Linked DNA regions of Anolis sagrei. The protein of the gene in region 2 binds, or shares a complex with, the protein of the main gene of each other region. Links are inferred from orthologs where the notes say so. Each region holds a gene or a part of one and is shown on either strand. Other genes may lie near its edges.

Region 1 (7,645 bases), on a different chromosome or scaffold from region 2:
TGTGTGTATGTATATTGTGTATATGTGTGGCTTGTGTATATGCATATATGTGTGTAGTTGTATATGTATGTATCTGTATGTGTATATTTGTGTGTGCTTGCATAAATATATATTTGTGTATATATGTGTGCATGTGTCTGTGTATTTTTCTGTGATTATATGTGTATATGTATATTGTGCATGTGTGTGCTTGTGTATATGCATATATGTGTGTACGTATGTGTATGTGTGTAGGTGTATATGTAGGTGTGTATATGTGTATATTTGTGTGTGTATATATATGTGTGTATTTATGTGTATAGATTTGTGTATTTCTTTGTTTATATGTGTATACGTAACTTGTGTATATGTGTGTTTGTGTATATGCATGTGTGTAGGTGTATATGTATGTATACTGTATGTGTATATTTATGTACGCTTGCACACATATATGTGTGTATATATGTGTGCATGTCTCTCTGTATATTTCTGTGTTTATATGTGTATATGTATATTGTGCATGTGTGTGCTTGTGTATATGCATATATGTGTGTAGGTGTATATGTAGGTGTGTATATTTGTGTGTTTGCATATTTAAATGTTTATGTATGTATGTGTGCATGTGTATATGAATGTATGTGTATATGTATATATGGTTTATTTTGGGGGGTTTAAAGTCCATTCTGCTGGGTTTTTTTGTGTGTTTTAGGGGTGATGGTCACTCATTGGCGTCAATTCACCCAGTGGTTTTTGAGTTATGTTAATCCCACAAATGAACATTACATTTTTATTTATATAGATTCCAAGAAAATAAGGCCTCCGCCCACTGAGACTTAGACTCACTCTGGAATATTGCAGTTTATCAACAACATCATCACTGGTAAGAGGGATCAGACCTAGCGAGAAACAGAGAAAGTAGTGAAAACACATGTAGACTCAGGTGCAAGGTAAAAGACGATCAACTAGGAAGAAACAAGATATATTCTGGTTTCAAAACCATGGGAGATTTTCGTGATCTAATTACTGTGGTTGTATATTGTTTGGTGTTTATCTGCATTGCTTCTTGTATTTTATTTTTATTTTATATTTATTTTTATTGTCATTACATTATTGTATTTTTATGCTGTATTTTTGCTTTATTGTATTGTCAGGCTTGGTCGCATGTGAGCCGCCCCAAGTCCCCTTGGGGAGATGGTGGCATGGTATATTAAAATTTTTATTATTATTATTATTATTATTATTATTATTATTACTACTACTACTACTACTAGCCCCTGTCACGCGTTGCTGTGGCCCACATGGGGGTTCTGTGTGGGAGGTTTGGCCCAATTCTATCGTTGGTGGGATTCAGAATGCTCTTTGATTGTAGGTGAACTATAAATCCCAGCAACTACAACTCCCAAATGACAAAATCAATTTTTTTGAGTGAAGGGCATACATTGGGTTGTTAGGTGTCATGTGTCCAAATTTGGTGTCAATTAGTCCAGTGGTTTTTGGGTTCTGTTAATCCCACAAACGAACATTACATTTTTATTTATATAGATTATTATTATTATTATTATTATTATTATTAATTAAGATCACATGGTTCACAGGATCCAGCTGGCCTGGATGATCTACGGATGGAACAAATCAAGAACTTTGGTCCCAAAGCAAGGCGCACGCACCCAAATACCAGGGAGTCACTCTGGACCGTGCTCTTACCTACAAGAAGCACTGCCTGAATATCAAGCAAAAAGTGGGTGCCAGAAACAATATCATACGAAAGCTGACTGGCACAACCTGGGGATCACAACCAGACACAGTGAAGACATCTGCCCTTGCGCTGTGCTACTCTGCTGCTGAGTATGCATGCCCAGTGTGGAACACATCTCACCACACTAAAACAATGGATGTGGCTTGTAATGAGACATGCCGCATTATCACGGTGTGTCTGCGCCCTACACCACTGGAGAAATTACACTGCTTAGCCGGTATTGCACCACCTGACATCCGTCGGGAAGTAGCAGCCAATAGTGGAAGGACCAAGGCAGAGACATCTCCAGCTCATCCCCTGCTTGGGTATCAGCCAGCACGTCAACGACTTAAATCTAGAAATAGTTTTCTAAGATCTACAGAGACACTCGCTGGAACACCTCAGCAAGCAAGAGTCCAAAAGTGGTAGGCTCAAACCCAGCACCTCAACCAATGGCTGATACCAAAGGAGAGACTCCCCCCTGGGCACACAGAAGACTGGGCGACTTGGAAGGCATTGAACAGACTGCGCTCTGGCACCACGAGATGCAGAGCCAACCTTGAGAAATGGGGCTACAAAGTGGAATCCTCAACATGCGAGTGTGGAGAGGAGCAAACCACTGACCACCTGCTGCAATGCAACCTGAGCCCTGCCACATGCACCAGGGAGGACCTCCTTGTAGCAACACCTGAGGCACTCCAAGTGGCCAGATACCCATCAAAGGACATTTAACCAACTACCAAACTCACAAGTTTTGTATTTGTCTGTTTGTTTGCTTTGTTCTGTTAGAAATGTAATATAATGGACTGGTTGCTCTGACACGACAAATAAATAAACAGGATCCAGAATTCCCAAAGGGCATATAACATAAGAAAAATATAGCAGGAGAGGAAAAACTTGGGGATATTACTAAAAATGTAATTAATAATGTTGAATGCTAGTACAATCTGAAAAATTAAATGTGTTGGGCATTACACTATTTTATGAAAAATCCAGAGTTAGAAAGAGGCTCGGCATCAAAGCATTGGAATGTATTTTATGTGAATTACGCACATAATAAAATATTGTTTTAAAAACAAAACTAGAGAAGCCTGTGTTTTCCTATCGTGTCCTATGCCGGTTACTCACCCAACCTATGTGCAATGAACTCATCATGGAGGACCGAGGAGTTGGCATCTATCTGTACCCAGTCTATGGCTGCAAACAAAATAGTACAAAATGAGATAATAGCAATTTGATTAATCATGCTCAAAGTCTTCAATTCGTAGTATTGGACTTTAACATACTGTTTATGTATACATATAAGAATTTGAGTCCCAACATTGAATGTTTGCCGTATATATGCTGAGTCCACTTCGGGATGAGAAGGGTGGAATATAAATGTTTAAAATAAAATAAATTAATAGATAAACAATAAAGAATAGATAAATACCGATGGTGGGAACTTCAGCAATGAACACTCTCCTGATGGAATTAGCTACTCTGGAAAAGAAAAACAGAGAAATATTCATTGTTATTATTATTAGCAGTATTATATGTATTTATATCCTCCAACACAGAACCCCCATGACCACCAGAGTGGGCCACAGCAACGTGTGGCAGGGGCGGCCTGGACGAATTGACACGAATTTTTGACACAATACACCTAACAGTCCAACGAGTGTTCATCACCACTAAAAATACAGCCCCCCCTAGCAGAACAGACTTAAAAACCCCAAAATGCACCATACACACACACTCATATACTCATAAACTCATAAACACACATATAAAAATATACCCAAGCACACACAACTATAAACACACATACATCTGCATACACACACATATATACATGCACAAATATACACATGCACACATACACACACATATAGAAACAAATATGCATATAGACAAGCACACACATATACACACACATATACACAACGGTGGCGCAGTGGGTTAAAGCACTGAGCTGCTGAGCTTGTTGATCGAAAGGTCGCAGTTTCGATTCCGGGGAGCGGCATGAGCTTCCGCTGTCAGCCCTAGATTCTGCCAACTTAGCAGTTCGAAAACATGCAAATGTGAGTAGATCAATAGGTACCGCTCCGACGGGAAGGTAACGGCGCTCCATGCAGTCATGCCGGCCACATGACCTTGGAGGTGTCTACGGACAATGCCGGCTCTTCGGCTTAGAAATGGAGATGAGCACCACACCCCAGAGTCAGACATGACTGGACTTAATGTCAGGGGATGGCATCCTTGAAGTGACTGGACTGACCTTGAGGGAGCTGGGGGTGGTAACGGCCGACAGGGAGCTCCGGCGTAGGCTGGTCCATGAGGTCACGAAGAGTCGGAGACGACTGAACGAATGAACAACAACAACAATGTCAGGGGACTACCTTTACCTTACACATAGGCACACACACACACATATGCAACACATATATACACACATATATACACACAAATACATATATATACAGGAGGGCCACAGCAACGCGTGGCAGGAGACAGCTATAAATAAATAAATCTGTTAGTCTTAAAAATTTTGTCTAAACATTTTGTAGGGGATAATAATAATAATAATATGGGACTATTTCCCAAGCCCAGGAGGTGGCCTGAGACGCCTCCGTGCCTGAGTGGGGCAGCAGAAGCACTCTAGGCCCCGGCTTCCCTCTCCAGACTAGGCCCTGCCCCTCCTCCACACAAGCCCCCGCTCACGCCAAGTCCGTGTTCTCCACGATGAACTTGACGTTCTCGTCGCTGAGCTCCGTGATGCGGACGGTGGGCTGGTTGGCGTAAGGCATGGCTGGCGGGAGACCCAAACAAGGCCGCAAGAGCCTGAAACACCACGGCGCATGCGCAGCAGGAACGAGGCCGGGATTGGCGCGGACGCCGAGAGCCGCGGGGGCTGCTGGGAGACGCCGGCCGCGCTCTCCGCCAATCGGGGAGCAGAGCGGCGCCGACGTCATTTCCAGGCGGCGGTCGGCGGCGAAACAGGGAGGAAGCAAGCAAGGTAGGCCCTCGCTGACTGGAAGGCGGTTCTTCTCCCATTCCAGGCTCCCTTCTCTCTCTCTCTTCCTCTCGAGAGCCTTGTCACACTGCTTTACTATAGCCCGGCTATAATATTATACCTTGGCAACGTTTTGAGGGGTTTTGTGGTGTGGCGAGGCCTTGGAATGCCTGAGAGGCCCCTATTGCCGGCCTCATTGCCCTCTCGCATGTTGCCATGGCAGCCAAAGCGGGATAACAGTGCTTATAGGTATTGTCGAAGGCTTTCATGGCTGGAATCACTAGGTTCTTGTGGTTTTTTTCGGGCTATAGAGCCATGTTCTAGAGGCATTTTCTCCTGACGTTTCGCCTGCATCTATGGCAAGCCTCCTCAGAGGTAGTGAAGTCTGTTGGAATTAGGACAATGGGTTTATATATCTGTGGAATGGCTTGGGTGGGGCAAAGAGCTCTTTTCTGCTGGAGCTAGGTGTGAATGTTTCAAATGACCACCTTCATTAGCATTTGAAGGCCTGGCTGAGCCTGGGAAAATCTTTTGTTGACAGGTGTTAAGATGTGCCTGGTTGTTTCCTCTCTGCTGTTTTGCTGTTGTAATTTTAGAGTTTTTTAATACTGGTAGCCAGATTTTGTTCATTTTCATCGTCTCTTCCTTTCTGTTGAAATTGTCCACATGCTTGTGGATTTCAATGGCTTCTCTGTGTAAAACTCTAAAATTACAACAGCAAAACAGCAGAGAGGAAACAACCAGGCACATCTTAACACCTCTCAACAGGGGATTTTCCCAGGCTCAGGTTGCATTGCAGCAGGTGTTCAGTGGTTTGCTTCTCTCCACACTCGCATGTCGTGGATTCCACTTTGTAGCCCCATTTCTGAAGGTTGGCTCTGCATCTCGTGGTGCCAGAGCTCAGTCTGTTCAGCACCTTCCAAGTCGCCCAGTCTTCTGTGTGCCCAGGGGGAAGTCTCTCATCTGGTATCAGCCATTGGTTGAGGTTCTGGGTTTGGGACTGCCATTTTTGGACTCTCGCTTGCTGAGGTGTTCCAGTGAGTGTCTCTGTAGATCTTAGAAAACTATTTCTAGATTTAAGTCGTTGACGTGCTGGCTGATACCCAAACAGGGGATGGGCTGGAGATGTCTGCCTTGGTCCTTTCACTATTGGCTGCTACTTCCCGGCGGATGTCAGGTGGTGCAATACCGGCTAGACAGTGTAATTTCTCCAGTAGTGTAGGGCGCAGGCACCCTGTGATAATGCGGCATGTCTCATTAAGAGCCACATCCACTGCTTTAGTGTGGTGAGATGTGTTCCACACTGGGCATGCATACTCAGCAGCAGAGTAGCACAGCGCAAGGGCAGATGTCTTCACTGTATCTGGTTGTGATCCCCAGGTTGTGCCAGTCAGCTTTCGTATGATATTGTTTCTAGCACCCACTTTTTGCTTGATGTTCAGGCAGTGCTTCTTGTAGGTAAGAGCATGGTCCAAAGTGACTCCCAGATATTTGGGTACGCTGCAATGCTCCAGTGGGATTCCTTCCCAGGTGATCTTCAGAGCTCGGGATGCTTGTCTGTTCTTGAGATGAAAGGCACATGTCTGTGTTTTAGATGGGTTGGGGATCAGTTGGTTTTCCTTGTAATAGGCAGTAAGAGCACCTAGAGCTTCAGAGAGTATCTGTTCAACCATCTCAAAGCTCCCTGCTTGAGCAGTAATGGCACGATCATCAGCGTAGATGAAACTCTCTGTCCCTTCTGGCAGTGGCTGGTCATTTGTGTAGATGTTGAACATGGATGGAGCAAGCACGCTCCCCTGAGGCAGTCCGTTCTTCTGTTTCCGCCATCTGCTTCTCTGACCCTGGAACTCAACAAAGAAGCTCCTGTTTTGTAGCAGGTTTCCTATGAGGCTGGTGAGGTGGTCGTCCTTTGTGATATTATGCTACCCCTACATACTACCCCTACATACAAGCAGCGTTTAAGCTCTTTGAGGCAAAATCCATAGCACAAATGATGTATGGAGCCCTTCTCAAACTATGCCCCTCTGGAGCAAGTATAATCAAAATTAGGTTCTTGTGGTTTTTTTCGGGCTATATGGCCATGTTCTAGAAGCATTCTCTCCTGACGTTTCGCCTGCATCTATGGCAAGCATCCTCAGAGGTACTGAGGTCTGTTAGAACTAGGAAAAAGGGTTTATATATCTGTGGAATGACCAGGGTGAGACAAAGAACTCTTGTCTGCTGGAGCTAGGTGTGAATGTTTCAAATGACCACCTTCATTAGCATTTGAAGGCCTGGCTGAGCCTGGGGGAATCTTTTGTTGAGAGGTGTTAAGATGTGCCTGGTTGTTTCCTCTCTGCTGTTTTGCTGTTGTAATTTTAGAGTTTTTTTAATACTATTGTCGAAGGCTTTCATGGCTGGAATCACTAGGTTCTTGTGGGTTTTTTCGGGCTATAGGGCCATGTTCTAGAGGCATTTTCTCCTGACGTTTCGCCTGCATCTACGGCAAGCATCCTCAGAGGTAGTGAGGTCTGTTGGAATTAGGACCATGGGTTTATATATCTGTGGACGGGCTGGGGTGGGGCAAAGAGCTTTTCTCTGCTGGAGCTAGGTGTGAATGTTTCAACTGACCACCTTCAGTAGCATTTGAAGGCCTGGCTGAGCCTGGGGGAATCTTTTGTTGAGAGGTGTTAAGATGTGCCTGGTTGTTTCCTCTCTGCTGTTTTGCTGTAGTAATTTTTGAGTTTTTTAATACTGGTAGCCAGATTTTGTTCATTTTCATGGTCTCTTCCTTTCTGTTGAAATTGTCCACATGCTTGTGGATTTCAATGGCTTCTCTGTGTAAAACTCTAAAATTACAACAGCAAAACAGCAAAGGAGCAGATTGTTTGTGAGGGAGAAACTCATTAAAATGGGTCATAAAATATACTTTCATACAGGTGAGGAAATATACTCTG
Region 2 (7,702 bases):
ATTGCTCTAGGTCTGAAGAACTGTTGCTGACTACAACAGTGCCAGCATTCCAACTTTATTAAACCTACCAACATCTTAAATGGACTTTCCTATGGTGGTACCCTTATGAAACGGATGACAGCTACTACATCAGTTTGCACATTCTAATCACGTTCCAGTGTCACGAGAGATTTTTACTTATAAATAACCTATGTGTATGCAACTGGTAAAACCAGAGCCTACATCCAGTATTACAGATAAAGAGACATTGTTCATCCGCCAATGTTGTACATGTATGAAAACTGTACTGTATCTACAACAAACCCCATACTTCCTATTGGAGAGTACAATAATGTAAATCCTAAAAGCACCACTATTTTAGCGTAATAAAAGAAAGTCCAAAGAGCTCCTATATAGACTACTCCAGATAACTTTGCTTCATTGGTATTTGTAGCTTATTGTAACTTTTTTAAAAGAAATACAGGATCATCATTGTATTGTACAAAAGCGCTTTGATTAACACAACAGCTATCTAGTTTTTTAATTTTAGGATAAAAAACCTGTGGAGACAGTGACCTAGTCTTATTAAAATGAGTCCTTTCAGTATAATGTCTGCCTAAAGACATTGCCTTTAATATCTGTTGGGAAGGAAATGTCCAGATTTTTCAACCTTTTATTGTATGTTTCCTTTTCCTTGTTTACATAGGGAACAATGTTTATAGTTGTGTGTACAGTGGGGGTCTACAACAAGAAGTGTATATTTTAAAACGATTTTTTAATGATTTAACAATTTTTTTGTAAATCATTTTTGGGCTTCTGCAGCTGTAGATTCTCACTGTGAATTCCCTTGCTTGCTCATGCATAAGTGTATTTGCAATACCAAATATACAGGTTTAGTACTTTTGCCTGTTAGTGATTGTTTTACATGTGTAACGTTTTGGTTGAGATGTTAAATGGTGGACGAGTACTGTGGATGTGAATGTGGGAAGTAATTTTAATCATGTGTAATTGGTCCCAGGGCCTAAGTTGCAGTAATTACCTTTTTGCTGATTTATTTAACAATGCCTTGTTGCTTTGTATGCATTAACGTTTGGGTGTAAAGATTGCGTGTAAAATCCAACAGGGAGCCACAGTATTTAAATTGACCAACCTAATGTTACAACTGCTTTGAGGTGGCCAAATGTAAACTAAAAGCCTTAATTAAAAGTGGTGCAATTTTGTATGACTTAGCATCAGTAGTTCAATAAATTTGGATTGCCATGCAAGGGCTTGCATTACAACTATCTATAAGTGAATGTTTTGTATCTTTTGCTGATGTTAGCCATAAGGTGGTTAAAATACTTGGACAAAAAAAGGATTTAGGACTTGAACATAGGGTTTACAGTTGATACAGAAGTCAACAAGAAAATGGTATTTGTCACCAATAAGTCATCATGGATGTATGCTCCTAAACCACTAATGTTCCAATAATGTAAAATTTCAACAGCAATTTTTGGAATTGGATCAATCTTCATTGCTGTTTTAATTCTTCTAAATCCCAGTCCAATACTGATCACTTTTTAATTTTACATCATATAAACGTATTTCATTATCAGATCCATAACTCTGTTTTAGGGATTAATAAATTAAATTTACCATGCATAGTCTGTTTTAATTTCACTGCGTTAATACATTCATACAATTGGGATAAAACCAAAGACACTCTGTGAACATATTTCTCTTTTGTTTTTATCTATTCATGACTTTGATTTTTGTAGCTTTCTTGAAGCTTCTCTTCCAAATGGAGCAAATGTAAAAAGCAGTTACATCATTTTTTGTAGTTCTCAGGATTTTTTCCTACAATCCCAACATATAGTTGTTGTTGTGGGCTCTATTTACCCTCTCACCTCTTTAGATCAATCTGGAAGGGCCCTCTAGATACAAAAAAACACCTGGCTCCAGTAATTCCTTTCTTATTAGAAATGGGATTCGAAAGGACTAATCTAATTAATCTCATTGAACTATTCTTGAATATGAAGTTTTAAGTCTTGCAACCTAAAACCAAGCTGAACCAAAAACTAAGTAAAGAACCAACAGGGTAATATACAGCTTGTTGATTTCTTGGCAGTAGAGAGAGCATTCATGGCGAAATTCCCATTTAGGCTACACATTTCATGTCCTATTTCTTATCTTAATTGATTTGATTTTGTTTGCATCGCTTGACTGGTCTTTTAATTTTAGAGCACAGGGGATTTCTTCTTGCACTATCTAGGAAGTTCACAGATGGTGCAGAAGTAAACACAGAAATGTAGCTGATTCTCAGATACCGAATACTCATCTATGAACCTTTCCTTGATACTCCTTCAGTTCAGAAGAAAAAAGAGGATAAAGTGTATAGCTAAGAATAGAAAAAGTGTACAACATCAGAGATCCCATATTTTATGATGGATGAAAAGACGACTGACCTCAGCAGGTAGAGAACAAGAAACGCTGCAATGAAATCCTCCTTTATGTACCATTAAGAGCCCTCACAAAGCTATGCATCTATGGCTGAGCCAGCTATATTTGGAAGCCCTTTCTTTCTGAAGGAGGACTGAAAGAGATAGCATATTTTGCAACATCTCAAAGAATTAAACCAGGATGCACGTGGCCAGGCAACATCTGAATGTGGCAAAAGTTATTAATAAAGAACATACAAGCCAGGAAGTCTTCACCTGTTTGCTTTTACCTGTGCCACTGGAAAAGAATGGGTTTTGTCTCTTCTTCTGTGTGGCCTTGCACGGATTGTTTTTCCTTTGCTTTCAAAACATTTTTGTAGTTGGATCTGTAAGCTTTATCATCATTAGGGCATGAGTGGCTGAAAAACCTGGTGAAAACAGGATGGCACCAAAAAAGAGAACTGTTCATTCTGTTTCATAGCTATGTATGTAAGCACAGCTTCCCTTCCAGAAGAACATTAAGGCTCAAAGTGAGGTACAACATGGTTAAAACCAACAAATGCAACACCATTAAGATGCATATATCAAAATATTTTTTATTTAGAACTTTTGTATCCCGTTCTACTCTACCTCCGTGGAGGGATTCAGACCACGGCTAATAGCAAAAATTCAATGCTTTACAATACATAACATAAATAACATACACAGTAAGTTCTAAAATGCATATAAAAGACAATCATCAGGTTAAAAACATCATCCAACTCAATCCAATTATTCATTGAATCTTCGTCTATGCCGGATCATCTATCAAACTGCGAATGCCTGATTCCAGAGCCAGGATTTTAGCTGCTTCCTGATTGATAAGAGGAAGGGGGCAGACCTAATCTTGCCAGGGAGAGAGTTCCATAGCCAGAGGTAACCACAGAAAAGGCCCTGTCTCTCATCCCCACCAACCACGACTGCGAAGGTGGTGGGATCGAGAGCAGGGCCTCTCCAGATGATCTTAGCATCCTTGATGGTTTATAGGAGGAGATGCATTCGAACAGGTAAACCGGGCCAGAGCTGTGTAGGGTTTTATAGGTTAAAACCAGCACTTATGCACTAATACCAATAAAGGAAAGCCAATACACTCCAAAATTTTCAACATGGGTAACAGATGGGGTGCATCTACACCCTCCAGGTGTTTTGGACTTCAACTCCCACAATTCCTAACAGCCTACTGTTCGGAATTGTGGGCCAAAGTTTGCCCATGCCTGATCCACACTGTAGAAGTAATGCAGTTTGACACCACTTGAACTGTCATGGCTGAATACTGTGAAATCCTGCCAGCTCTAGTTTTGGATGGTCTTTAGTCCTTTCTGCCAAAGAGTACCAGTATCACCCCAAGTCCCAGGATTCCAGAACATTGAACCATGCCAGTTATAGTAGTATCAAACCCCATTCATTCTGCAGAGTAGTTGCACCCATAGTGACACCTTTACTTTAGGGTGGTTTTGTGTACTGCGTAGTACCGTTTAGGTCACGTGTAGGTGTCTAAAGTCTGAGCCCTACAAGAATTTCGCATTTAGACCCGAGTCCTAGACTTCATGATACAAATACTCGGAAATTTTTTGTTTATGTGATTTATATTGTTTTGTATTGATTGTTTTTGTTATTGCCTTGTTTACTGATGTACTGTGGGCTTGACCTCATGTAAGCTGCACCGAGTCCCTTGGGGAGATGGTAGCGGGGTATAAATAAAGTTTTATTATTATTAAATGCCAAAAAAGGGGCACTGAATCTGCCCATCAGTTGTCAAATAGCGGCTTTTCTGGCACCTTTAACCTGCAATCTCTCATCAGGGCCCTTCCACACAGCCATAAAACCCAGAATATCAAGGCTGAAAATCCCACAATATCTGCTTTGAACTGGGTTTTCTGAGGGCCCTTTAACACAGAATATCAAGGCAAAATAACCCCCAATATCTGCTTTGAACTGAAATGCATGGCAGTGTGGACTCAGACAACCCAGTTCAAAGCAGATATTGTGGAATTTTCTGCCTTGATATTCTGGGATTTATGGTTGTGCGGAAGGGCCCTGAGTCCACGCTGCCATATATTCCAGTTCCAAGCAGATACTGCGGGGTTTGATTGAGCTGTCAGGAAGGGGCCCCAAACTTCCTTCCAGCGATGGAAAACTTTCCCGCCACGCCCAAAGCGGTGGGGGCTAGGCGGTCTTCCTCGCCTGCAGGGGGCGCCATGTGTACATCTCCATGGAGCTATTCCCTTGTCTCGGGAGAGAGCCTCCTGCCCTCATCCGGGTCCTGAGTTTCACTTCCGCTTCCGGCGGGCGGGAAGTCTCAAGCAACAAGCGGCAGCCGGCACTCGGCTGTGGAGAGCAGGTGAGTATGGCGGAAGGTCTATAGGCGAGTCAAAGGCTGGAGGGGAGGCGTGAGCATTGGGTTGAGAGGTGAGGCCCTCCCGCCTTCTATAGTTCAGCAGCCGAGGAAGAAATGGCCTCAGGCATGTCCTTCGCCTCAGCAAAGCAGCCAAGGCCTCTTCTCTTTTCTTTCCCGCCGCTTCAGCTTCAAGATTCGGCCTTTCTCCAGGTGTTTTGGACTTCAACTCCCACAATTCTTAACAGCCTCGGGCCCCTTGGTTTTCCCCCTCAGCCGGGGATTGGAAAGCAGAAGGTGTCACTGTCTCAGTCACTCACTTGGGGATTCTGAAGTCTTGAATTTCAGATAAGGGATGCTCGAGCATTGAGCCTCTCGGAAGTGCCCGTTCGCTTTCACACTGCACTGCTTGGATGGCAATTTAATCACCTTTTCTCTGGGATATACAGTTTTGTGAGGGACGTAGGATTGTCTCTATTATGGGGAAGGTGAAAGAGACAGCCCCACAAAAGATAGGTAACATTAGCTATGTTAGGAATTCTCAATTATTTCACTGTAGCTAAAAACGATTAACCTCCCCCAGTCCAGTAAACATGTATTTGAATTTAGAATAATAGAATCAAAGAGAGTTGGAAGAGACCTCATGGGCATTCCTGATAGATGGCCATCCAGCCTCTGTTTAAAAACTTCCAAAGAAGGAGCCTCCACCACACTCCGGGGCAGAGAGTTCCACTGCTGAACGGCTCTCACAGTCAGGAAGTTCTTCCTCATGTTTAGATGGAATCTCCTTTCTTGTAGTTTGAAGCCATTGTTCCCCATCCTAGTCTCCAGGGAAGCAGAAAACAAGCTTGCTCCCCCCTCCCTGTGACTTCCTCTCACATATTTATACATGGCTATCATATCTCCTCTCAGCCTTCTCTTCTTTAGGCTAAACATGCCCAGCTCCTTAAGGTGCTCCTCATAGGGCTTGTTCTCCAGACCCTCAATCATTTTAGTCATCCTCCTTGGGACACATTCCAGCTTCTCAACATCTCTCTTCAATTGTGGTGCCCAGAATTGGACACACTGTTCCAGGTGTGGTCTAACCAAGGTGGAATAGAGGGGTAGCATTACTTCCCTAGATCTAGACACTGTGCTCCCCCTTTCTTGAAACAGTGGGCTGTTAAATGGGGCTTACTCCCAGCTAAGTATGTATATTTTATTATTTATTTACTGTATTTTCACCCAGGCCTTCTCAACCCCGTAAGGGACTCAAGGTAGCTTATATATATAGGCAACAATTAGATGCCAAAAACACACATAATAAAAAAATAAGCATTAAAAAAACCAAAATCCATGGGTGCTCACATCCCATCATACACAACGGCATAGTAAAATTGTGGCCTTTGTATGTATTGGCAAATTGAAGGTTTGGTTTTTGGATTTCAAAAAAATGTTTTCAAACCATGGATGATTGAATCTGTGGTTGGGCGACTGCAGGAAAAATCAGTTGCCTGAGGTGTTCCTCTCATTCCTTCATAGAGAATTAACCTTAGTAGGTACTTTGGAATATTACTGTGACTGGCAGATGTTCTTCACACTGTTCTCATTCATTCACACTGTTCCTTGGAATATTACTGTGACTGACATGTTCTTTACACTGTTCTCATTCATTCACACTGTTCCTTGGAATATTACTGTGACTGACAGATGTTCTTTACATTGTTCTCATTCATTCACACTATTCTTTGGAATATTGGAATAACTGGTATGTTCTTTATACTATAGCCATTCATTCATTCATACCATTCCACAGGAATATTACTGTGACTAACAAGTATTCTTTACACTGTTCTCATTCATTCACTCACCCTGTTCCTTGGAATGTTATGTGACTGACAGGTGTGCTTTTACAGTATCTATTCATTCATTCTCACCGTTCCTTGGAATATTAGTGTGGCTGACAGCTGTTTCTCACATTATTCTCATTAATTTATTCCCCTTTTCTTCCCACAACTTGAAAGTGTTATTCTTTTGGACCCCAATAGCCAGGTTCCTTCAGATAGAATGGTCAATAGGGACTAGACTTTAAAAATTGAAAATTTTCCAAGTTTGGCTCTCTTAGAGATCAATGGTTTTCAAAAAGTGGAGTGTGTGTATGTGCTTGCATATGCAAGTGCAACAAGTCTGATAAACTTACTTTGGCTTCCGGCCTGATTTGGTTTTTTCCCCCCATCTTGCATCAGTCCAGAAATCTATGAAGGCCTTCATCCTCAAATCTTTCTCTGGGTGCCTTGCCATCTGAACACAATGAGAAGGAGTATCTTTTCAATAGCGGCACTTCACTGCTAGATTTTCTCTCTAGAGCAGGCCTGCCTGGGTACCCATGTTAATTGTCATGTTACTGGTGCTGTACAAGCATACTGGTACTAAGCAAACTAATTCTGCTTTTGCAGGCTTTCTAGAACTTGTAATGTAGGATTCTGAACTTTCAATCAGACTTTATTTTTGCAATCTGTTTCATTGTACTATTCTTATTTTATTTTATTCTGGTTTGTATTCCTTATGTTTTCATAATAAGGAGGACTGGGATACTCTAGACCAGTGTTTTTCAACCTGTGGGTCCCCAGATATTTTGGCCTTCAACTCCCAGAATCCTAACAGCTGGTAAACTAGCTGGGATTTCTGGGAGTTGTTGGCCAAAACACCTGGGGACCCACAATAATGCCATTGGAATGCTGGCTGACTTACTTGTGCCCCATGGCCATCATGGTACACTTTAAAGAACAACTAAAACAGCCATTGTTCATCTATTTTAATTGTTTTACTACGTCAGATGTTTTAATGTTAATTATGTTTTAATGTACTTTGTTTTATGTGTTTATTTGTATCATGTTTTTCATTTTTGATGTTTAATTTTCTTCATTAATTGCATTCTTCAGACAATTAGTTC
Region 3 (6,919 bases), on a different chromosome or scaffold from region 2:
AACCAGGGCTGGCAGGACAAATCAGGCCTGCTAGTAACATCAGTCTCTGACTTTTGCATGTCATTTCCACAGGTTTGCTCTCCTTGGATTCCATGCTTTCCTCTCGCAAATTCATGGACCTAAAATGTTGGGATACATGCTTTCGTTTTGTCTGAAGATTGCAATAAAACCTGCAACATTGTTGCTGTTTTTGACACCAAACTGCCAAACTAGGAAGTAGCATATTCTTTGTTCTAAACAGCCCATCCATTCCAGAGAGGAAATTTCTATTTAAATCTGTAGACAGAGAGGGAAACATATAAAAAAAGACATTAGTTTCACATGAAGTTCACACAAATTTTATATCCAGTGGCTGGAGACCAGGGTTCAAATTGTTGCTTGGTCATGGAAACCAATTGGGTAACACTAGTCAGGTAACATTCTCTCGGCCTCAAAAAACTAAGCAAACCTCCCTCTAAACAAATCTGGCGAAGAAAACTTTGTCATAGGTTTGCTTTAGGGTTGCCACATTTAGAATTGGCTTGAATGTGCACAACAACAAATGTGTATTTACAAAGCATAGCTGAAACAAAAATAACACAAAACATTGCATTCTGCTTCTTTATAATCAAACTGCTCTATCTGATTTCATGTACTGATAAGCATGGAGCTTACCATGAGTTCATGAATTACGGCTCTGTTCCCTGAAACAGTATAAACAGACCTTAATCAGTTTTTCTGCCATCTTTGAAACATAGATACAATCAGGAAAAATAAATACATAGAGTACTCACAAGAATACATCCTTACACTACAACATATAAACTTTACACTGATACAGAAACATTAACATCAGCAGCTACTGGTTGTTCACATACCTACAGAAACAAAGCACAGTTACTGCATTTTTAATTTTCATTTTTCCCTATTGTTTTTCTATGTGTTCTTTAAATCATGTAATCCCTCTCTCTCTACACTCTGGGATTTGAAGAAAGAAAGAAAGCTGGATAGAGAAAAAGAATGTCCCCCTTTACATTGTCCAGTTACACTGCTATTACAACTTTAACCCAAACAGTAAACACATTATTTATTTATTTACTATATTTATATACCGTCCCTCTCAGCCTGCAGGCGACTCGGGGAGGTTCACAGTCGGTACCAAGACCATAAAATGCCATTTCAATATAATAAAACAGTTGAATAATAAAAACCATAACAGAATCAATAAAATCAATATCATTATACAGCTCAAAATAATAATACTGTATTTACTTGATTCTAATGCTCACCTTTTTTGACTAAATTACCTTCCCAAAATTGGGGTACATATTAGATTTGCGTAACATGGTAAATGCTTTTTTTGGGTTTCAAGGTTTTGAAAATTAAGATGCGCATTAGATTTTATGGCACATTAGACTCTAGTAAATAATATTGGTGTCTTCGTTTTTAGGTCTGTTCCTGGGTTATATGGGACGCTGATTTAGAAAATTGAATTGGATACACTACATCAGCTCTAGTTTCTTAGATATCATTGATTTTCTATGGGTGATGAAGACTGGTAGATGGCATATGTTCTGCATCTAAAAAACTAGAACTGAGAAGGGGAAACTGGTGTTATTTTTGGAATCAGCAGCTCAAAAATACCCAGAAACAGGGCTAACGTTTGGGGCACTAAAATGTGAGCATTGTGGGAGAATCTAGAACAGGCATGGGCAAACTTTGGCCCTCCAGGTGTTTTGAACTTCAACTCCCACCATTCCTAACAGCCTCAGGCCCTTTCCTTTTGCCCCTCAGGCGCTTAGGGGCTGAGGGGCAAAAGGAAGGGTCCTGAGGCTGTTAGGAATAGTGGGAGTTGACGTCCAAAACACCTGGAGGGCCCAAGTTTGCCTATGCCTATTGCAGAATCAATGCAAATTGAGCCCACTTGAATTACCACAGCTGATGAGGCACCAGCACTATTGAGAAGGCCAAAACGCCTTGTAAAACTAGAACTCCCACCACCCCATAGCATTGTGCCACGGGCAGTTAAAGTGGACTCAAAATGAATCAATTTGGCAGTTCAGATCCACCTCTGGCCTGAGCAAATCCCCAAAGCGTGGCGTCCAGCTAACTGAGCCACTACATACATACCAAACGCTAAGCAGGACTAAAGAGCGCGCTCTCAGCCCTGACGCCCCATACTGCGCATGAGCGCTGCTCTTCCGGGTTTGCCGCGAGATTTCGGTTCCCGAGTGCCCTCGGATCTCGCGAGACGTGAAACAGCCTTGTCTCATGTGTTACCACTCTCTACCTCTATAGATCCTGGCAGACGTTTAGCTTTTGCTTTCTAAAGGCCCTTCCACACAGCCATTTAACCCAGAATATCAAGGTGGAAAACCCCACAATATCTGCTTTGAACTGGGTTACCTGAGTCCACAATGACATATATGCCACACAAGTTCCATCTTGTCTCCTGTGCTATGCTAATAATATAATTTAACATAATATATTGTATATGCATTTAGTATTTATAATATAATGCAATATAATACTACTAATAATAATATGACATTATAATTATATATTTTATATTATATGTAATATTACTAGTAATATTACAATATAATGGTATAATTATTATTTATTTACGACATTTAAATGCCACCTTTCTCACCCCGAAGGGGACACACAGCGGCTTACAAGACATACAATATATTATAATATAATTATTAGCATAGTACAATATCAGTATTAAATATTACTATATCCTGGGCACACAGAAGACTGGGCGACTTGGAAGGCACTGAACAGACTGTGCTCTGGCACCACGAGATGCAGAGCCAACCTTCAGAAATGGGGCTACAAAGTGGAATCCTCAACATGCGAGTGTGGAGAAGAGCAAACCACTGACCACCTGCTGCAATGCAACCTGAGCCCTGCCACATGCACCATGGAGGACCTTCTTGCAGTAACACCAGAAGCACTCCAAGTGGCCAGATGCTGGTCAAAGGACATTTAACCAACTACCAAACTCACAAGTTTTGTATTTGTCTGTTTGTTTGCTTTGTTCTGTTAGAAATGTAATATAATGGACTGGTTGCTCTGACACGACAAATAAATAAATTACTATATTGTACTATATCATATTGTAATATTATTAGTAATATTACATGTAATATAAATATATAATTATAATATATTATTATTAGTGTTACATTGCATTACATTATAATATTATAAATATTATAAGTATATACAATATATTATTGTATATACATATAATATTTATAATATTATAATGTAATGCAAGTTCTCCCTAGGGGGTGAGAAGGGTGGGGTAGAAATGCCTGAAATAAATAAATAAATTATATTATTAGAATAGCACAGGAGACAAGGTGGAACAATATAATGGTATAGTACAATATAGTAATATATAATACTGATATTGTACTATACAAGATATATATATATATATACACACACAAGATATATATATATATATATACACACACACACACAATATATCATATTGTGTGTGTGTATATATATACATACATATATATGTTGTAGGCCGCTCTGAGTCCCCTTGGGGGTGAGAAGGGCGGCATATAAATGTCGTAAATAAATACAATAAATAAATATATTCCAGTTCAAAGCAGATAATGTGGGATTTTATTTAGCTGTGTGAAAGAGGCCTAAGATTCAAGAGTATTCATTCTCCAAGAAAACCCAATGAAATTAACTTGGTCTCTATAAGTCGACAAGGAAGTTAATAACACATCCATTCCTAAAAGTCCCAAAATTCGTTCTTCGCGCCAACCGAGCAGATTGGGCGAGTTCACGTTCTCTTGACGTCATCAACCCGCGCCGTACCATTTCTCCCCTCCCTTCGCTTCTCTGTGACGTCCCATGCCTTCTGGCAACCTCGCGAGGAAGGCGGGGAGGGAAATCCGATTGACAAGGGACTTCGCCTATCGAAGCGTTGCGATACAAGAAGAGGCGGGAGGGACGCTCCTCAGCGCCCAATCGCGACTGAGCTCTGAAGAGGGACGCCGCATTGTTGACCGAGAAGCCGTTTAGCTTAGGCGTCCGGCTTTTGAAAGGGAAGACGCGTGTTTTCCGGTGGTGGTCCAAAGTCGCCGGCGTTCCTCCGACTCGGCAGCCCACCCGGTGTCCGGTAGAAGGAGCAGGCCGAGGCGAGGAGAATGAATTTAGTGTCAAGGTTGGTTTACAGCGCGAGGGAACCGGGAAGGGAGGGAGGGAGCGAGTGCTCGCCCGCTTCTTGTTGCCATGGAAACTCAACGGCGCTTGTTCTCCGCCCCCTCCCTTTTTGCCTCGCGAGGCGCCTCAGGCGGGCGCGCGCTCCGTGTCCCTCAGCTGCCACCTGGCGAAAGGCTCACGCGCCGCCCCCGCCTCTCTCTCTTTTCCTCTAAGGCGCTTAAGAACACCCAGTCCCTGCCTGTTTCGCCCTTTTGGCCCTTGCCTTGGTTCAATCATGGGTTGAGGTTTTTGCTGGCGTTGTATTCCATTGTGAACACACGCAGACAGACCCACAGGATTTCTAGGAAACGGAGTAGAAGGAAATTGTTTTTTTTCTCTTTCTTTCATCTATATATAAATTGAAATATAATGTTTGTTTGTGGAATTAACAGAACTCAAAAACCACTGGACGAATTGACACCAAATTTGGGCAAAAGACACCTAACAACCCAGTGTATGTCCTTCACTAAAAAAAAAATGATTTTGTCATTTGGGAGTTGTAGTTGCTGGGATTTATAGTTCACCTACAATCAAAGCGCATTCGGAACCCCACCAACGATACAATTGAACCAGACTTGGCATACAGAACTCCCATGACCAACAGAAAATACTGGAAGGGTTGGTGGGCAGTGTTCTTTGGTTTTGGAGTTGTAGTTCACCTACATCCAGAGATCACTGTGGACTCAAACAATGATGGATCTGGACCAATTCTACACAAATACTCAATATGCCCAAATGTGAACACTGATAGAGTTGGGGGGGGGGGGGGAGAGAATCTTGACATTCGGGAGTTGTCGTAGCTGGGATTTATAGTTCACCTACAATCAAAGAGCATTCTGAATCCCACCAACAATAGAATTGGGCCAGACCTCTCACACAGAACCCCCATGTGGGCCACAGCAACACATGGCAGCGGACAGCTAGTCTATATATAAATTAAAATGTAATGTTCATTTGTGGGATTAACATAACTCAAAAACCACTGGCCACAATTTGGCTACAAGACACCTACTAACCCAAGGAGTGACTATCACTCTAAAAAATTGATTTTGTCATTTGGGAGTTGTAGTTGCTGGGATTTATAGTTTACCTACAATCAAAGAGCATTCTGAACTCCACCAATGATGGAATTGAACCAAACGTGGCACACAGGACTCCCATGACCAACATGGACATTGATGGGCATTGATCTTGAGTTTGGAAGTTGCAGTTCTCCTACATCCAGAGAGCACTGTGGACTCAAACAATGGTGGATCAGGACCAAACTTGGCACAAATATTCCATATGCTCAAATATGTACACAGATGGAGTTTGGGTTAAAAAGTAGACTTTGACATTTGGGAGTTGCATTTACTGGGATTTATATTTCACCTACAATCAAAGAGCATTGTGAACTCCATCAATGATGGAATTGAACCAAACGTGGCACACAGAACTCCCGTGACCAACAGAAAATACTTAAGGCCATCCAGTCCAACTCCCTTTACCAGGGCAAGAAAATGTAATAAAGCGCTCCTGACAAAGAGCCACAAAGCCATAGATGATTTCACACACACACAGATACAGTATCATAGATTTGAAAGAGACCCCTAAAGAAGGACAATTCCATGTTGCATGTTCTAGGGTAGGCAACCCAGACAATCTCGACATCAACATGGACAAAGACACAGCAAGAAATACTGTTTACCCACAAGACATTACATATATTAGAAACCAGCACTTTCTCATTACTTCATTTTCCAGATCACCAGCCTGTGGGATTAACATAACTCAAAAACCACTGGACAAACTGACACCAAAATTGGACACAATACACCTATTGTGTAAACCAACAGGTGACCATCACTCATCAAAACACTGAAAAACACAATGCAAGAGACTTAAAAAGCCAAAAAAATAAAAATACATTATAACGCATGTGCAAAACCACATACAGTGTTCCCTCACTTATTGTGGGGGTTACGTTCCAGGACCACCCGCAGTAAGTGAAAATCCGTAAAGTAGGGATGCTATATTAATTGTGAGGTTTATACATTATTGGATGTTATTGGGGTGGCATCGGGGCCTCCAACGGGCTGCATCCCAACCCGGAATGAGGAGGTGAACAAAGCATGTCCGCTCGCAGCCCGAGCCATCAACAAAATGGGCAAAAACAAGTGACAGGACACAAGGGGCCACACACCAGCCTCCCTTTCTGAGGCCCATTGTAATGTAAATATTTTAAATTCATTTTTTAAAAAATACCTGCAACAGCAAGTCCACAAAAAGCAAATACCGAAATATATACACACACATATACACAGACTGGGCCACACCAACGCATGGCAGAGGACAGCTCGTTTTAAATAGATGTCTTCCCCTTCTCCCTGTAGTCTTTTCTTCTACTTGGGGTCCCCAATTCTCCAGTGCACGCATGGGCAAACTTGGGCCCTCCAGGGATTTTGGACTTCAACTAACAAAATTCCTAACAGCCGGTATTGATAGTAATGGCATTACATCGTGCTCTCTATAAAATATTGTGCAAATTGTTTTTCTTCTTGTTGCAGAGCGGAGTTTTCTGTTGAAAAAAATAAGAGAAAGAAAAGAAGAGACTTGACTGAAGAACAGAAGCAAGAGATCAAAGATGCTTTTGAGCTCTTTGACACAGATAAAGACAAAGCTATAGATTACCATGAACTGAAGGCAATTAATTTTCATTTAA
Region 4 (7,120 bases), on a different chromosome or scaffold from region 2:
TGTCCAATAGTACTGATGCCTCAGCCAGCTGCAGCTCCCATGATTCCATGGCATCAAGCCCTAACCATTATAGTAGTGTCAAACTGCATTAATTCTACAGTGTAGATGCCCTCTGGGACTGGTAAAAGTCTGATGTGAGAACAGTGCGTTTCCAAGCCTTTGGTAGTGTTAAGCTGTGCCTTTGCAACTAGGTTTAGTCTGTGTATTTCTTTGATTAAAAAAAAGTTACACATTCCATAACTTTCCAGTGACCTCCCTTTTGGAAGACTTTCTGATAAACTGAGACTTCCATCTAGAAATATTCATTCACTTAGTGTCAACAGATTTGAAACAATAATCTAAAGAAGTATGTTACATTGCAGGTTAAAAATATGTGCACTTACCTGAATTTCATCAGGGACTTGATTTATCAGAAGGGTATATTTTTTACACAGAAATAAAGTTGTTGCTTTTAAAAAGAAATGTATGTAATACTCTTAAAATACTGTCACATTATAAAAAGCCTGAAATGAAAGCAAACTAGTAAGCTAACTATTCTAAAGTGGGATATAGGACAATAATATATGTTTTCTCATCATTTTGTTCATGAATTAGTGCATTGGATGCTGAAAACGAATTCCTTGTCCAAGAAGCATTAGATCGACTCATGGAAGGAAGGACTGTTCTCATAATTGCCCATCGTCTGTCCACTATTCAGAATGCGAATTCTGTTGCAGTTCTTGATCAAGGAAGAATTGTTGAGTGTGGGAAACATGAAAAATTGCTTGCAAACCCAAATGGACTCTTCAGCAAATTAATGAAGAAACAGTCTTTTCTCCAGCACAGTGAAAATGTTGCATTAAATGTAAAATCTTGAAGAAGAAAAAAGACTTTAAAATGAAATAATATAAAGAATGGAAATGTAACACATTTCCAAGTAATTTTAAATTATGTTTCAATTCATGTATAATAAATGTGTTTATATTTTTCCTGTGTATTTTAAAACATGGCTGTACTAAACTTTTTATTCAGAGAATCTAATTATAATTATATTCTTGTGAAGATATGAAACAGTAAATTGTTTTTACAATGTAAATATTTTTATGCTGCTTTGATTGATGGATATGGATGTTTACTATTTTTTTAAACCTGACGGCGTGGAAGCACATTCTTTTTCCATTTAAGATGGTGATAAATTAAATGTGTAATTCTGGTATTTTGTTTAAAGTCATTGTATTGAAAAGATAGAGATCAGTTCAGAGAGCGTTTTGCTTACAGAAAAGGGGGGCTCTTTTAACTCTTACATTCTGAAACTGCTTTTGTTTTAAAAAGCAAACATTTAAAAAATTCCTCTACTGGATTTGCAAGTCTTCTGCAATAGAACCCAAGTCATTAGAATTAAATCCCTACTGTGGTTTTGAAATTTTCCTCATCACACACAGTATTGGGATGTCTGTTCTGAGCTTAAGAAAGAAAGCAATCTGTATGCTGAAGGGCCCAGGTTCAATTCCTACTATAGTAGATTACAAAAAATTTTGGCCATCAAATCTGGGCTAAATCTTTATCAGATACTATAAAGACTATTACCATTCTCAGTGAGTTAAGTGGACCTATGATTTGACTTGATAAAGGTCATGCCAGCCAGCCGCTTTCCCTGCTCCTGGTTCCTGCCACTTTCCCTTCTGCCCACCACTTTACTTCACCACTCCTGGCACTCCTTGCACCCCTGGGAAGGTAGAAAGGAGGGATGGAGAAAAAGAAAAGGAGAAAAAGAGAGGTAGGAAAAAGAGGAGGAGGGAGAGAGAAAGGGAAGAAAGAAATGTAAGTAGGAATCAGGGAAGGAGGAAGAGTAAGAAAGGGAGAAAGAAGAGGTAGAAAAAAAGAGAGGGAAGGAATTCAGAATTCAAAAAGCCTGGTGTAGTGGTTTGAACCTTGGACAATGGCTCTAGGTGACTTTAGGCAAATCACACTCTCTCAGAGGACGGCAAAGGCAAATCTCCTTTGAATAAATCTTGACAAGGAATCTCTGTGGTCGCCCTAAGTCTGAAATGACTTGAAGACACACAACAACAATCTTAATCATTATTATACCTTACTTGAAAATTGAGGTGCTAAATACCTTTCTGCAGCCCCAAGAGGCTTAGCCTGTCTAGTTTGGCCCCTTAGTACTGAGGTCATCATTATAATTTAGTTGAAAGTAATCTCATTTTTAAATAATTTATTGACAAGATTTGCACTCAAAAAGCGGTTTTTCCAGGATAAGAGCCAGTGTAGTTTAGTGGTTTGAGTGCTCTGCCTATTGTTCTGCCCCGCTCAACCAAGGCAATTCACTGTGTGACCTTACACCAATAATACTCCTCAGTATTGAACCTCATTAAGTTATCATGTAAGTATTATGAAATTATTATCAAACTTTAGGAAATGTTTGCCAACATTTCCTACGAAAACCTTGCATGTGTGTGTGTGTGTATAGGATTTATTGCTTATTTCACATAAACTCAAGGTTTTTTTTCCTACATCCGTGACACACCTACACAACAGGTCAGTGGACACAGCAATAGTTTCGATGCACAGTTGGGAAAGCTCTGCATAACCACCATCAAATCCCATTCTCAGGCCCCCTCTACACTGCCACATAATCCAGATTATCAAAGAAGATCATCCACATCTGCTTTGAACTGGATTATGAGTCTACACTGGATCTTATATGGCAGTGTAAAAGGGGCCTCAGTCTCAGAGGAAGCCAGTGTTAAATTTCTTCTGAACAAATTTTGCCATGATAAAACCTCATGATACATTTACTTTGGGATCGCCATAACTCAGGATGGACTTGAAGGCACACAACAGACATGGATAGGAAGCCAGTGAGGAGTCCTGGTTTGGTGCTGGAGACCAGAGTACAAATCCCAATTCAGCCATGGAAACCCCCTGGATGGCTTTGGATCAGTTACTGGCCCCTTCTACACAGCTGAATAAAATCCCATATAATCTCCTTTGAACTGGAATATATAGCAGTGTGGACTCAGATACCCCAGTTCAAAGCAGATATTGTGGGATTTTCTGCCTTGATATTTTGGGTTATATGGCTGTGTGGAAGGAACCACTCTCAGGAGAAGGCCAAAGCAAGTCTTCTAAGGACAGACACATCCAGAATGGGTTGTTGTAGATATTTCGAGCTATATAGCCATGTTCTAGAAGCATTCTCTCTTGACGTTTCACCTGTATCTATGGCAGGCATCTTCAGAGGTTGTGAGGTCTGTTAGAAACTAGGAAAAAATGGGTTTATATATCTGTTTATATATCTGAAAAGTCCAGGGTAGGAGAAAGAACTCTTTTGTCTGTTGTAGCTAGGTGTGAATGTTTCAATTGGCCACCTTGATTAGCATTTGATGGCCTGACAGTTTTTAGGTGTAGCTTCTCACTGTTGTTGTAGGTATTTCAAGCTATATAGCCATGTTCTAGAAGCATGACGTTTCACCTGCATCTATGGCAGGCATCCTCAGGTTGCGAGGTCTGTTGGAAATTTGATTTATATATCTTGTCAGTTGGAGCTAGGTTTGAATATTTCAATTTGCCACCTTGGTTAGAATTTGATGGTCTGAGTTTTTAGGTGTAGCTTGTTACTGCCTGGGGGAATCCTTTGTTGAGAGGTGATTAGCTGTCCCTGATTTTTTGTCTTGAGTTCCCCTGCATTTGAGCATTGTTCTTTATTTACTGTTATGATTTTAGAGGGGTTTTTAAAATACTGGTGGCCAGTTATCGTTCATTTTCATGGTTTTTTCCTTTCTGTTGAAATTGTCCAGATGCTTGTGGATTTCAGTGGCTTCTCTGTGTAGCCTGACCTCCAGAATGCCCAGTGATGGCGAGGCTATAGCTCAAAAACGACTTGAAAGGCATCCAGCAACACAAGGGAAAGGATAATGGAGCTTGCAAGGGCCCTCAAAAACCGTTCTGAATTTCCCTTAAGCTGAATGAGGAAGAGCAGCGGGCGTTAACCTTCCCGCCAAAAGCTAAACTCAAAAACTTCCGAGGCGGACCTTCAACTCTGCCCAGCTGGATCACGGAAGCCCCGCCTTTCTCAAGCGTTCCAGTCAATCCCATCCTGGGAATCCGGATGACGCTATTAGAACGCGCGAGAAACACAACGTCTACGTCATCGGGAGCCGCCCGGGAACTCGTGCACTTCTGAAAGCTCCGTGTATTCTGTGAGCTTTGGCGTCCTGAGGTGGAACCATGTATCTTTCGACCCCCGTGGGCTCCCCTCACACCCCGGTCGGTGGTGGGTCAGGCCGAAGGGGCCTCCGTCTCGGCGGCAGGAAGGGCCAGGCGTCTGTCAGTTCCCCGGCGCTGTTCTCGCCCGTGGCCCGGAGGAACGTCAGCTCCCTGTCGGCGCGGTGAGTACGCGAGGGGCGGCCTACTCGGGGTGAGAAGGCTAAAGGCCTGGTGAAACTACAACATCAAACTACCGAGCAGATGGGGATAAAGGGGATAGGTGGAGAACCTTGTACGTCATTAATTTTGGATTAGGAACTTTTAATTAATGGAAGGGAACTAATAATAAATCAGGCATGGGCCAACTTGTGCCCTCCAGGTGTTTTGGACTCCAACTCCCACCATTCCTAACAGCCTCAGGCCCTTTCCTTTTCCCCCTCAGCCGCTTAAGCTGAGGGGGAAGGGGCCTGAGGCTGTTAGGAATGGTGGGAGTTGGAGTCCAAAACACCTGGAGGGAGGGCCCAAGTTTGCCCATGCCTGGAGAGTGAATATTTTGTATCCAAAATGCACAGGGAGATTTTTTGTTTGCAATTATTATTTTGGAATGTATTTGCATATACATTATGCAAATCTTGGATATGCGATCGACAGCTAAACACAAAGTGTATTGATGTTGCATATACTTCTCTCTCACACACACAGCCGGAAGATAATTTTATTCACGAAGCAATGTGTTTAGGCGCTATTTGTTTTATTTGTCATATCAGAAGTGAACCGAGGGTAGAATTGTACTGTATTTACAGTTGTAGATCAGAGGATAACGGGGCAGTATAGAAGGGCCCTTGGCTGCCCAGATTTGGGTTGTGGAGCAGTCCAGCTTTCCAGATAAGGGATTCTCTGTCATAACAACAACAGGAAATAAGGACCCAATGGCCACCACATTAACTGTATGTACAGTACAACTTTTAGACACTGAACCCTCAGAAAGCAAAAGTGTCACACTCTCAGGGTCCTTCCACACTGCCCCTTTATCCCATGATCTGATCCCAGATTAACAACAACAACAATAATAAACTTTATTTGTATTCCACCCTATTTCCCCAAGGGGACTCCGGGCAGATTCCATACAACAGCCAACTAGAATTCCCAAAACTTGTTTATCATAGGTTATCGACAGTGAGGAGTTATACATATTTATATAAGCAGATAGTCTGGAATCAGATCCTGGGATAAAGGGGCAGTGTAGAAGGGCCCTCAGCTGCCCAGATTTGGATTGTGAAGCATTTCAGCTTTCCAGATAAGGGATGATGTTCAACCTGTCATAACAGCAACAGGAAATAAGAGCCCAGTGGCTATCGCATTAACTGTACATGTCTCTATATCATCATGTGCATTCAAATTGATCCTGACTTAGTAGGCACCTATCTTTAGCTTTTTTTTATTCAGAGGATGGTTTGCCAATGCCTCTCTGTAAGTCTAAGGAAATGTAACTTCACCAGGGATAACTAGCAAGTTTCTGCGGCTGAGTTGGGTTTGGGACCCTTATGTCCCAAAGTCGCACTCTGCGAATATGGATACACCTTATTCAATTGTAGCTCTTTAGAACATTGGCTCCATCCTGTGGAATCCATACTTTGTGGAGATAGTCAGCAATCACACCTAGAAAGTTTTAGTGCTGTTGCTCATGGGCGTGTTGTTTGTGTGTGTGTGTGTGTGCACATGCTTGTCTTCAAATTAATTTATAGTAACCTCATGAATTTCATAACATTTTCTTAGGAATAACTGGAAGAAATTCTAAGCATCTTGTCAAAGGGCAAAGTGGTGTCATATTGCTATATCTCTGTGTTGTATATATTCATGTAATTTGATACATCTGTAATGTATGTATTGAATGTGTCCATTTTCAAGAAATGGAAATGACAGCTGTGGAGGCTGGGCTGTTCACTATAAGTTTTGGAGAAGGCAGAAGAGAACTCATCCTTTTTCTCTGACATTTTGTTCCCAAGGAAAATCAGTGTTCTGAAGTTGGTAACTGCTGTGGCTTATATTAACTTCAGAACATTGGATTTCACCATAGATAGAACTTAATAGCAGCCCTGTTGGTTTTTAAATGTGAGGATTTTCCTTCCATGGCAAGAAGAAAATGCATTTGTGGGTCGTCATCCCCAATAAATGAAGTGGCAACTGAAATCTTTGTTTTGTTATGTGTTCCACACATTTGTTCAAACAGTGATGAATGAAATTAGCATAAGTCAGTGAAGCAATGTTCTTGACAAGGTTATTTTTTTTTTATTTGAAACATTTATATTTTGTCCTTCTCACCCCGAAGGGAGCACAACATATATATGGCAAACATTCCATGCTGGGACATAAAATAACTATAAATATACACAAACTCTAAAATCAGTTGTAGCTACTTTACCACTTAATTGAAACAGAAATATGGAAAATGTTGGTTACTTCTCTTTTTGCTTAGGTGTACTCCCACAAAGGTTGTGCATCATCCAACAGGAAGTGAAACCATTAACTATGACGTGAAAGGGTTTGGCTCGCCCCTACCAGTAAAAGTTATGGAGGCCTTGAGAATGGCTGGTGGTAAGTGTTTTATTTTTCTATGCAAATAACCAAACATGGAAAAATAGCTAAAATCTTCCTGCTAGGTTTGTAACATTCCTGGGAACATTGCCAATATCTTTTAAAGTTTATGTCTACAGCTATTTTAGAAAGCATGGGTTTGAAGATTGAGATAGAAAGATGTAACCTTAGTGTTATTTATTTGTACATGAGATGCTTCTTATTTCGATTTAGGTAGAAATAGCTTTGTTTATCAAACCAAGCAAATGGTATTCATTTTAACGTGTGGTTTTGCTGCTTTCCTTAAGGAGATAGTTCTAAGTATGAGAATATTCTTAGGCCCCTTCTATACTGC

The links.
Region 1: NUP107 (region 2) and NUP93 share a complex: the UniProt entries of both Homo sapiens proteins name them as parts of the nuclear pore complex. The link is inferred for Anolis sagrei from reciprocal best matches to the Homo sapiens genes NUP107 and NUP93.
Region 3: NUP107 (region 2) and CETN3 share a complex: the UniProt entries of both Homo sapiens proteins name them as parts of the nuclear pore complex. The link is inferred for Anolis sagrei from reciprocal best matches to the Homo sapiens genes NUP107 and CETN3.
Region 4: the proteins of NUP107 (region 2) and NUP133 are in contact, whole or in part, in a crystal structure (PDB 3CQG), measured with the Homo sapiens proteins. The link is inferred for Anolis sagrei from reciprocal best matches to the Homo sapiens genes NUP107 and NUP133. Residues at the interface, in NP_065134.1 of Homo sapiens: Leu875, Gln876, Ala878, Asp879, Val881, Ser882, Ser883, Glu884, Tyr889, Lys894, Leu897, Arg898, Leu900, Leu901, Gln902, Arg905, Ser908, Leu909, Leu912, Asp917, Pro918, Leu919, Tyr921; in NP_060700.2 of Homo sapiens: Trp937, Leu938, Ile941, Asn942, Gln944, Leu946, Tyr963, Ala965, Lys966, Lys968, Thr969, Leu970, Gly972, Leu973, Lys975, Leu976, Ala977, Leu979, Ala980, Ser981, Asp982, Ile992, Glu999.

Annotation. Positions count from the first base shown.
Region 1 is NC_090028.1:6,442,344-6,449,988, reverse strand, and holds the start of NUP93 (nuclear pore complex protein Nup93), read left to right. Parts: upstream 1-4,639; 5' UTR 4,640-4,712; intron 4,713-7,645. Other genes in the region: POLR2C (DNA-directed RNA polymerase II subunit RPB3), read right to left, coding at 823-875, 2,843-2,911, 3,147-3,191, 4,418-4,556. UniProt on the Homo sapiens protein: Plays a role in the nuclear pore complex (NPC) assembly and/or maintenance. May anchor nucleoporins, but not NUP153 and TPR, to the NPC. During renal development, regulates podocyte migration and proliferation through SMAD4 signaling.
Region 2 is NC_090025.1:143,085,796-143,093,497, forward strand, and holds the start of NUP107 (nuclear pore complex protein Nup107), read left to right. Parts: upstream 1-4,698; 5' UTR 4,699-4,776; intron 4,777-7,702. UniProt on the Homo sapiens protein: Plays a role in the nuclear pore complex (NPC) assembly and/or maintenance. Required for the assembly of peripheral proteins into the NPC. May anchor NUP62 to the NPC. Involved in nephrogenesis.
Region 3 is NC_090024.1:171,867,593-171,874,511, reverse strand, and holds the start of CETN3 (centrin-3), read left to right. Parts: upstream 1-3,898; 5' UTR 3,899-4,163; coding exon 4,164-4,180; intron 4,181-6,764; coding exon 6,765-6,900; intron 6,901-6,919. Other genes in the region: PARS2 (probable proline--tRNA ligase, mitochondrial), read right to left, coding at 1-250. UniProt on the Homo sapiens protein: Plays a fundamental role in microtubule-organizing center structure and function. As a component of the TREX-2 complex, involved in the export of mRNAs to the cytoplasm through the nuclear pores.
Region 4 is NC_090021.1:61,261,627-61,268,746, reverse strand, and holds the start of NUP133 (nuclear pore complex protein Nup133), read left to right. Parts: upstream 1-4,113; 5' UTR 4,114-4,212; coding exon 4,213-4,373; intron 4,374-6,667; coding exon 6,668-6,786; intron 6,787-7,120. Other genes in the region: ABCB10 (ATP-binding cassette sub-family B member 10, mitochondrial), read left to right, coding at 595-856. UniProt on the Homo sapiens protein: Involved in poly(A)+ RNA transport. Involved in nephrogenesis.